Tribolium castaneum: one gene and its partners. The protein of the gene in region 3 interacts with the protein of the main gene of each other region in a pairwise test. Links are inferred from orthologs where the notes say so. Each region holds a gene or a part of one and is shown on either strand. Other genes may lie near its edges. The genes, in order: proteasome subunit alpha type-1, Prosbeta6 and eIF2Balpha.

Region 1 (3,135 bases), on a different chromosome or scaffold from region 3:
ACTGTTTAATACGTAATGACTTTCTCTATGCCTGTGATTTTTTTCAGAATTTTTCTACCCATTTTTCATTTTTGCAACTACTTAAGAGTAGTTAATTAATTTTAATTATAAGAAATTGTAGAAAAATTCTGAAAAAATTCAGCCTTAGAGGGAAATATAGAGTATTTAATAGCAAACGCTGAATTCAGTGCGATAATTAGTTTTTGAGGTTTAGTAAAAAATACACTTGTAATAGACTCACCCTGTCTACATTACAAAATGCTGTGAAAATCTAATAAACGTGTCTTGGAACAGTAACTTCAATATGCAATTGCGAAATTAAAAATTTTTAAAGTCCACTGTCGCCTAAGGTGTTTAATAAATTTTAAAGTGTCAAAGTATTTTAAGTTAAAATATTTTTTAAACAATGTTGGTTATCCGCCTTAAACCGGATAATCAAAAGTAAAAAGTTTGATTTTACTCGGCTAATCAAGGTTCTGCTGTAACATTACATTGAAATTTCTTTAAATATAGCAAGCTATGCGAGATATACGTCAAGGAAATTCTCACAGCACTTTCGCTTTACGTACTTTGTACATTTAGGGTGAAAAAATAAACAACGATTTACAAATTACTTCGTTTATTGATTATTTAATAAAAGAATACAGTTTAGTAATATTTAGTGATCCTGTGCCGTGGCTGCCTCACTTACGACAGCCACGGCACAAAACCAATCCAATTTCTCAGAGGTAAAACACAACTGATTAACGAAAAATGAAAAGGCCCCATTATCCTTATTCCGTATCCATTGCTACAGCTGGAACCGGATCCCTGGGGCCCTGGTCTTGGTCCCCCGCCTCATCTCTGAGAGGCCCTGCTGGGGGCTCTTGAGCCCCACCCCCTCTCCTCTCCTCACCCTGAATCATAGCCAAGTAAGGCCCAGTTTCATCATCGACCAAAATCTTGAAGCTTTGTCCCTTGCCAACGTAACCGATGGAAACGTTTTTAATGGTTAAGTCGACTTCAGGGGGCAAAGTGTCCCTAAGAGCCCTCAAGCCGTGTTTAATCAGCTCTTCAAGAGAACACGAAGACAATTCCTCCAAGTGCTTCTCCAGGTAAGTCCTAGCGCTCTGCGAACGCGCCCCAATTGACATTGCCTTACAGTCGTAGTAATTGGCAGAGGGGCAGGTCTGGTAAATGTGGGCCCCCTGGTCGTCATAACCCGCCACAAGGAGCCCCACGCCGTAGGGCCTGCGGTCGTACCTCTGAGTGCACAACTGCATCTTGTTTCCCAGCTGGCTGATGAGGCGGTTTAGGGGCAAGTGGGTGTCGTGCGAATACTTGTAATTGAGGCATTCAGTCCGCATGTAACGGCTCAGGATTCTGGCGTCGGCTGTGAGGCCTGAGATGGTGATTCCGATGTGGTCGTCGATGTTGATGATTTTCTTCTGGTAGGCTGATAGTTCAGACGAGGCTCTTTTGAGGGCGATGAGAACGGCGTGAGTCTTGCTTTTGAGACCCACGGTGGCGGAGCCCAAATTTACGGCCTCCATGGCGTACTCCACCTGGTGGAGGCGGCCCTGGGGGCTCCAGACGGTCACGTCGCTGTCGTATTGGTTGCGAAACATTTCTAACACTGATTTTTACTGAACTTTACCGGTTTTGTTTTTATAACCATGTAATGCTGCTGTGTCACTTGCGGATATTTTTGACAGAATAAGACATACGTTTTTGACAGTTTCGATAAAAAGGTCTCTGTAAAGAAAGGCTAAGAAAAATATTTTTACGCTAGAAAAGCTGCAGGTTTTGATGAATATCTTAGTTAATTATATTAATTATTATTATACAAATGTAAAAGTTGTAGAACTAAATTTCTTATAAGCATAGGAAACTGTAACATTTTCTACTGATGGTTAGCCAGTCTGCGCTTGATAGAATTCTTTATTTTAAGTTTAAAAATTTACCATAGTTAATTAGTATTAGGGTCATACAAACGCAAGGACATTTTTAAACTTTAGTACCTTTTTGCGTTCTTGTAATCGTGGTACCAATAATTTAAAGATTTGTCTGCAACCAGCTATACACTTGTGTGTATTGTGCATCCAAATTGCCTAGCCTTAGCATTTTTTTGTAGAAACAGTTTAGTAAAAGTTTGTTGTTATTTTAAAGTAAAATGTGTAGGTATTAAGGTCACAGGAACGCAACAAGATTTTTAGAAATTTTAACTTTTTTGATCCAGGTACAAAATCCATTTTAAAACTTTAATGTGTATTAGGATCACAAGAAAACAAAGAGGTTTTTATATTTTTTACCTCTTTGCACTCCTGCGGTCCTGGTCCAAAATCAATTTTGAAATTTTCGAATAATTATTTAAAAGTATACAATTGTAAATGGTCTTAAAAAATTTACAGGTTACTGTAATTCGCTGTTTTACAGGAGCATGCAAAGATGACACATAAAATTTTATAGGTACCTATAAAAATAGTACTCTAATATTCAGTAATTAGATGTCATCACCATGTATAGATAGTCCTGGTGAACCAACTTCCCTTATTTTCCATTGTCGGGCGCAAACCAAAATGTGGAGCAAGTTGGAGCTTTTATTTTATCTGACAGATGGCACCAGCGTAGACTGGGACTGTCACAATGTTTACAAGAAAAAAGATACACGCATCACGTTGTTAAAAATACGACATTTATGAAGAACAATTAATACCTGAAGGATGCCCGTACCGAATGGTAGTGGAGTTTTTTTTCTGGAAAGCATTTATTCTGACTTCAATGTTTCGATGTCTTTCGCGGCCGAAAATGCATCGAACCGAAGTTTAGAACTATTCGGAAAATATTATTATTTCAGCGCGAAAAAAGCAGAAGTTGTTACAAGATGACTAACTTGGGTGCTGAGATAACATTTTTTAATTTCGCATCATTTTTTTATAAAAAACAAAGAAAATTTCTGAAATTGTGACAGTCCCAGTCTACCGTGCTGCCATCTATCAACTTGCTCCAGCGTTAGAATCAATTATAATAGCGAGTTGGTTTACCTGTCTGTCTCTATACCGTGGATGTCATTACCTCTCCTAAGACAGTGACATCTAGGTGTCGAATACATAAATTTAATTTTACAGGAAACTATAAAAAATTATGCCATCTATG
Region 2 (2,799 bases), on a different chromosome or scaffold from region 3:
CAAGTTACTTTAGACATTATGGTCATTTTGAGACTTATTTTTCATTAAAACCCAATTTAATGTATTCCCCGCTTATTGTGCCTTTATTGCAAACTCGAAAAATGCCCTTTAGTCAAAACTCTACGTGGAAACGCAGGGGCCTTTGCAGTTCGTATCATTATCGTGTTATTTTAAAGTATATAAAAATTCAACATTTTTTTAAATCTATACTGTAGTGTAAATATTTTCAAACTGATTTAGGTCTACCGAAAAATCAATAGGTCTGGCAACACTAGTTAGGTGGTAATAACCATGGCAACCAATTGTTGACTAACAGATGGCGCCACGTTAAGCCGTGTCCCTCATTGATCAAGGAAGCCGTGGTTCAATCATCACGTCAAAGTAATAATTCGAATGTTTAGATATTTGAGTGTGACCTATTTGTTATAATTTTTTTAGATTATTGTATGTGGTAGAATTAGAATTCCTTTACCGAAATATTTGTTAAATAAAACAATCAATACCAAACACTGATTTATTAAGCAAAAAAAACACCAATTTAATCTTTCCTCAATTGAAAACTATCTTCCTTAATACCATCCTTGGTGATGATGTTAATCAAAATGCTATCCCCTGTGAAAATATCTCTCTCAGCGGCTGAAATAAAAACGTCTTTGATGATGGCAGCTGCTCTCTCCAACGTTAATTTAGAATCCTTGACGTTTTGCATATTTTTCAAGCCAATTTGATTGTCCAAAAGCGGTTGTAGGAGGGCCCCCGCGGAGCCCCCAGCCCTATACGTGGTTTTCTCGCAATGTCCAATCGGATCGTAGCTATAAATGCACCCTTTCCCTTCATTATCCAATCCAACGAGAATATTAGAAATGTAGTATGGGAAAAACCGCTTGTAGTACAACATGGTTGATAGCATTTGGGCACAAGCCGGTGTGGCCATGGTTTTATTATGCTCCTGTTGGTACATTTGCATGCGAGCGCTCAAAATGCGGGTCAGGGTGAGAGTGTCGCACCAACAACCCGAACATCCCAGTACTGTAGTGTCCGATAAACGGAACAATTTATTCTGGTCACGGGTGTAAATTGAAAAACCGGCACTGAGACGGGTGTCAGCGCCTATTACCACGAAATCGTCGCCGGCGATTGCAACCACACTCCTACAAAAGGGGCTGTAGGGAGGGGTTTAATGTGAGGAATGCTTACCCTCCGTTGTCGGCATAGGGGCTGAAGTGGTGCTGTGTGGGGGCTGTAGCATAGTCGGGGTAATTGGGGCGGTTTTCGGAGTGTAATAAAGCCATTTCGTATTAACACTTACTCGAATTGAATGACAACACAAAATAAGATGTCAGATGTCAAATATGGAAGCGACCGAAATCGTACACGGTTGAATCGTTACAAAACCAACAAATTATACTTAAATAAATCACAATCATCAAAATTTTAGTCGTAAACGTGTTTCTTACAAAAAAGGCTATTTTTTACTACTTTTCAGACCAGGCATGGAGTAAAGAATGTGCGTCGGCTCGAATTTGGTATTTGTATAAATGGTTGCCTATAATAAATATTTTAAAAATAACATGCAGCGCCAAATTTTTTTAGTTTAGGTACACCGCCGAACTTACGATAAATATGTGAAAAAAAAACATAATTAAACGTATAACGACTAATTTATTACACTTATAAATATTTGTATTACACGATTATTTAAAAATTAAACCAAAAATTACTCTTTTGATTAAAGATTTATTTTTAATGGGGTTGAAATTAACAACATTTATTACATTAACTTTATTACATTTACCTTAAAACTTAAAAAACATTTGGTACAGATATGACAATTTAAAAACTAAATTAAAGCTAACCTTTTAAATTAAAGACTTATTATTTAATGTGGATGATATTAATTTATCTTAATTAAAACTTAAAAAAATTGACTCCGATACGATAATTTTAATACTAAACCAGTTACCTTTTCTTACAATAAAAATTTATTTGATGAGGATGAAATTAACAACAGAGATGAAAAAATCATAAAAAAACTAAAAAATAATTTATTTATTTTTATTTTTCTATTTTCTAAATTATTTTGGTCTAAGCCTGTGTAAAATGATCCTGGAAATCAATCGACGTCAAGAAAATCACCAAACTTCCAATAGCTTTTTACTTATGATTTTTTTTATTTTTTCTATTTTTGCTTTTATTCGCAATTTTCTTCGAAAACTCTTAGCCGGAGAACAATATCATCTTTTTTTGAAAAATATAGATAAAAGAGCTTTCTAACGATAATAAATTAGACCATATGGTTATCTCAAATAGTTCCGGTGTTACTGCTTGATTAATGTTCCGGGTACCGAAAATCGAGAAAATTTCGCAAAAATTAAAAAACTCAAACTTTAAGAACCTATTGACATTTTTTATACTTTTAACAACCCGAGTGAGTTATAAAGGCATAGAAAAGTCCATAAGCTTTCCTAGAGTGAGTTTAAAAAAATAATAAATTTTTAAGCAAAAAAAATCAAAATTTGAATTCTCGTGAAAAACTGATACGTAGTATGAGCCGCAAAATTTACTGGAACAAACCATTTTACTCTACGACTTTTTGTTTTTGATTTTTGAAAAACTTTAAATGTCTCTAAAAAAATCATTTGTTGTTCAGTTAAATATTCCTTTGGCAAACTTAACTATCAATTTCAAACGGTTCAACATTGCTAATAGATTTTTTCACAGTATTTTATGGTTCCCGATATTATTTATAAATTTATCATCCCAATATTGAAATAAATACTGACATATCAAAATAGATGT
Region 3 (3,478 bases):
GGAGATTTTCTCACGTGGGGGAACCCCCTACAGTGGTTTGAGCAACTCAAAAGCGCGGGAAAAAATCGACGCCGGTTATCGAATGCCGGCACCTGATAACACACCCGACGAAATGTACCGTTTAATGCTGAGATGTTGGGAATATAAGCCGGAAAATAGGCCCAATTTTGAGCAAATTTATACAGTTGTGGAAACACTATGTGCCGCCTATAGAGTGTCATTCCTGTGATCAGAGATTGCCAATATCAAGTGTGCTATAATTACTGTGATTGTGACGTTGATAAACATTTTATAACTTGTATTTTATTGTAAAAAGTTTGACTGACTTTTGAATAAACGTTTTATTTAAATGGCGCGCTATCTTATCACCGTGGAAAGGCGCCCAGGGGCGACCAACCTTAACCACAAACCCGGTTTTTTCAATTGGAAAATAATTGAATGAGGTGCCTGTAGTTAGCGTGACTCTAGTGCCAAAAAACTTTTAGATTTTGTTACAGGTAATAATTTAAAATCAATAAATTTTAAAAAATTTGGTGGGGTAACCTTAGCCACAAACTGTCAATTTATTAAATTTATTACAAGTACAATTTGATTAATTCGTCGCTGACGGCGCTCGGAGTCAAAATCCCCAAATCGGTGAACAATAGAGTGATGTAAAACGGGGGCGTGTAATCCACTAAGGGATGAATTTTCTTAAAATCCCTCTCATCAAGTTGACGCGCACTTGCAGAGTACTGTAATACCAACACTTAACCCTAATTATTTTTACGCCTTCCTACCTTATACTCCGGCGGTAAATCCCCCTGATTTAGTGGAAACAGGCGCGAAAATTTAAAACTCTCCGTCAGAACATAGAAGGGTTTTTTCATTTCTTTAGCACAAACGGCCATAGTGTAACTACCAACCTTACAAAACGAAATTAACCAAAATCAAACCAATAGTGTTATTTTTACTTTATTAACAATCCCCCCACTTTCCACAACCCCCTCGGCCCCCACCATGACAAAATCAACCTGTTCCATCACATAACCAATCGCAGAGTCGAGAATCAACGTACAGGGGATTCCCACACTAGTCAGATTTTTGCACATGACGTCCCTGCAACGTGACGTCAAGCCAAATCGTACAAAATCGGGGATTTACCCGCTGTTATCAGGCGCGGATTTCGTGACGTAAACCTCGAATTGTTTGCCTTGACGTGACGCCTCAATCAAAGTTTGAAGCACGACACGTGACCGTGAATGTGTGAGGACTTTCTACAAAAAAATGGGGGGTTTACACACCCACGACCTTGAAACTTACAGAACCGTCAGCTATGAATTTTGTGGCCAGTTTCACGATTTTGGCACGGCATTGTTTCAATCTGTTTAGGAAAATGTTGCCACGTTCGAGCATAACGTTACGACATTGCTCAAAACTCTAAAATTTCATTTACTTGGGTGATAATTAAATTTTTTTCTATTACATTGTAGTCAAGTTTTGCCAACGTTATGAAGCGCATAAAAAGTTCGCAACCGGAATTTATCGCGGTGACGGGATAGTCGGACGTTTTTATTGCCAAAATGCCCAGTTTTAGGTTCTCGTCAAGGCCCTGAACCGTATTGTCTGAAAAGTGAGGTTAGGTTTTTGTGGCGTTTTATTTATTTTAACCTTGATATTTTTCGATGATTTTCATGAGGGTCATTATCGCAACAACCCCCACCGACAGGTCCTCATTTTCGGCGATTGTTTTGTCGAAAAAGGCCTTAACTTCTAAAAAAAGGGCCACATATGTGACTTGAAAACGCCCAAAACTTTGCAAAAGTGTAACATTCGTACCTTGCTTATCCATTATTATGTAAATAACGTGGCCTTAAAGCCAAATTATTGTCACAATTGTGTTTATTTTCAAAATTAAACAATTGACTTAACCTCCCTTTTCGCTTGACTGGTCACTGCCTTACCGACGTGGTCTTGGCAGTGGTTAGAGTCACGCCCGCCGTGTCTTACACCACCAAAATAAAAACAATGTGTGTGTTTGATTTATTGGGTCTTTGTTTATACACTTAGTATAACGTTTGGTTTAAAAAAACATGCCCGAATTAAATTATGGGGGTCGTTTTAAATTCGCTTGTAGATGTCGCTTTAGCAACATTTTTCGGCCAACCAATCCGCGGGCTTCATTCCGGTCACGTGTCATTACCAGACCAACTTTATCAATTGTGTAGTTGATGTGGATTGCCCTGTCATCGTTCAGTTTTTTTTGGATTATTTTGGCCTAAAATTACCTTTATGTGAGTATAAAGCCCTCTTTGCATGTCTTTGTGCCCCCTTGTTATGAAATTGGGGCCCTGGGAGCCCCCTTTTGGCCGAAATTTGCGCAATATGTTGGGCCAAGTTCGATAATTGTCTGTCGCCATTTTCCTTAGTACAGTTACTTTCTGCTTCATTGTTAGTAGGCGATGGGCCCCCTTGAGACTGCACCACCGCTAAAAGGGGGCTGTATGGGGCGGTTTTCCCCCATTTTTAAGCCCGTATCGTGCGATTAATTATGATTGACGTGGATATTTTTATTTTTGTTGGGGGATTTTTGGCACGTTCTCAATTTCCGGAGTAAACAAATGAATTTGATCGATTTTTTTTTCGGTTGGTAGCCTTGACGCGCTTTCGAAAAACCTTGAGATTTTGGCAAAAACTGCGCTTTCGCTAATTAACGACATGTCAAAATCACGTGACTTGCATACAAGCCTACTATGACTCAAAAAAAATAATTTTTTTTTTCAGGTGTGAACACCACCAACTTTCTTCGCATCATCTAGTATGGTGAGTGTTTGAATGATATTTTTGGGGGGCGGCAAGACCGCCCCCCGATCGATAAGCGTCGCGTCTCATCCCCTTTAAAACGGTGGCGGCGGCGAGAGTGAAACCGCCTCCACCGCCGCCGTTATCGATTCAAATACGGTCCTGTATTATCGATTTGGGTCCGGTCCTGTGAATAATTGGGCCGCAAGGTCGAATTATGCACCCCTTTATAAATAGGGGAAGATGGGGTTTTCGAGGTCAATGAACGCGTGTGCTAGGGGAGCGGGGGTAAATTTGGACGCGTCGTCGAAGGTTAAAGTCAAAGTTCGTCGCCACCAAAAAAATAATAACGAAAATGCGTTTTAATGCATGCACGTGTTAATGTAAATAATAAATATTTTTGTTTTTTTTGCTGGTTTTTCGCATTGGACGGTTGTCAAAATGTGGAGGCGGAGTTTGGTTGGTCACGTGTTGATTGAATTTAAACTAGTGGGTGGGGCTTATTTAAATTCGTACTTTTTATAAAAAATGGGCCATGACTTGTGTTTTTTATTTCTACGAACTAGTCGTTTACATTTAACGCCACCTTTAAATAGAAGCTCCGCCCACATCTAAATAACAACAAATTTCAAGCTTACTAGAATTTTCAAAATTGTCAATTGTCAATATTCAAACCTAGTATGATTTTATCAAAATG

The links.
Region 1: the proteins of eIF2Balpha (region 3) and proteasome subunit alpha type-1 interact in a two-hybrid assay, tested with the Caenorhabditis elegans proteins (4 studies listed by BioGRID). The link is inferred for Tribolium castaneum from reciprocal best matches to the Caenorhabditis elegans genes eif-2Balpha and pas-6.
Region 2: the proteins of eIF2Balpha (region 3) and Prosbeta6 interact in a two-hybrid assay, tested with the Caenorhabditis elegans proteins (2 studies listed by BioGRID). The link is inferred for Tribolium castaneum from reciprocal best matches to the Caenorhabditis elegans genes eif-2Balpha and pbs-6.

What each region holds. Positions count from the first base shown.
Region 1 is NC_087394.1:35,801,475-35,804,609, forward strand, and holds proteasome subunit alpha type-1, read right to left. Parts: upstream 1,717-3,135; 5' UTR 1,608-1,716; coding exon 774-1,607; 3' UTR 603-773; downstream 1-602. UniProt on the Caenorhabditis elegans protein: The proteasome is a multicatalytic proteinase complex which is characterized by its ability to cleave peptides with Arg, Phe, Tyr, Leu, and Glu adjacent to the leaving group at neutral or slightly basic pH.
Region 2 is NC_087394.1:25,341,564-25,344,362, forward strand, and holds Prosbeta6 (proteasome subunit beta type-1), read right to left. Parts: upstream 1,417-2,799; 5' UTR 1,293-1,416; coding exon 1,198-1,292; intron 1,152-1,197; coding exon 539-1,151; 3' UTR 501-538; downstream 1-500. UniProt on the Caenorhabditis elegans protein: Non-catalytic component of the proteasome, a multicatalytic proteinase complex which is characterized by its ability to cleave peptides with Arg, Phe, Tyr, Leu, and Glu adjacent to the leaving group at neutral or slightly basic pH.
Region 3 is NC_087400.1:176,787-180,264, forward strand, and holds eIF2Balpha (translation initiation factor eIF2B subunit alpha), read right to left. Parts: upstream 1,984-3,478; 5' UTR 1,832-1,983; coding exon 1,819-1,831; intron 1,753-1,818; coding exon 1,651-1,752; intron 1,606-1,650; coding exon 1,466-1,605; intron 1,420-1,465; coding exon 1,303-1,419; intron 1,257-1,302; coding exon 1,144-1,256; intron 1,099-1,143; coding exon 954-1,098; intron 906-953; coding exon 780-905; intron 735-779; coding exon 576-734; 3' UTR 516-575; downstream 1-515. Other genes in the region: tyrosine-protein kinase Fer, read left to right, coding at 1-229.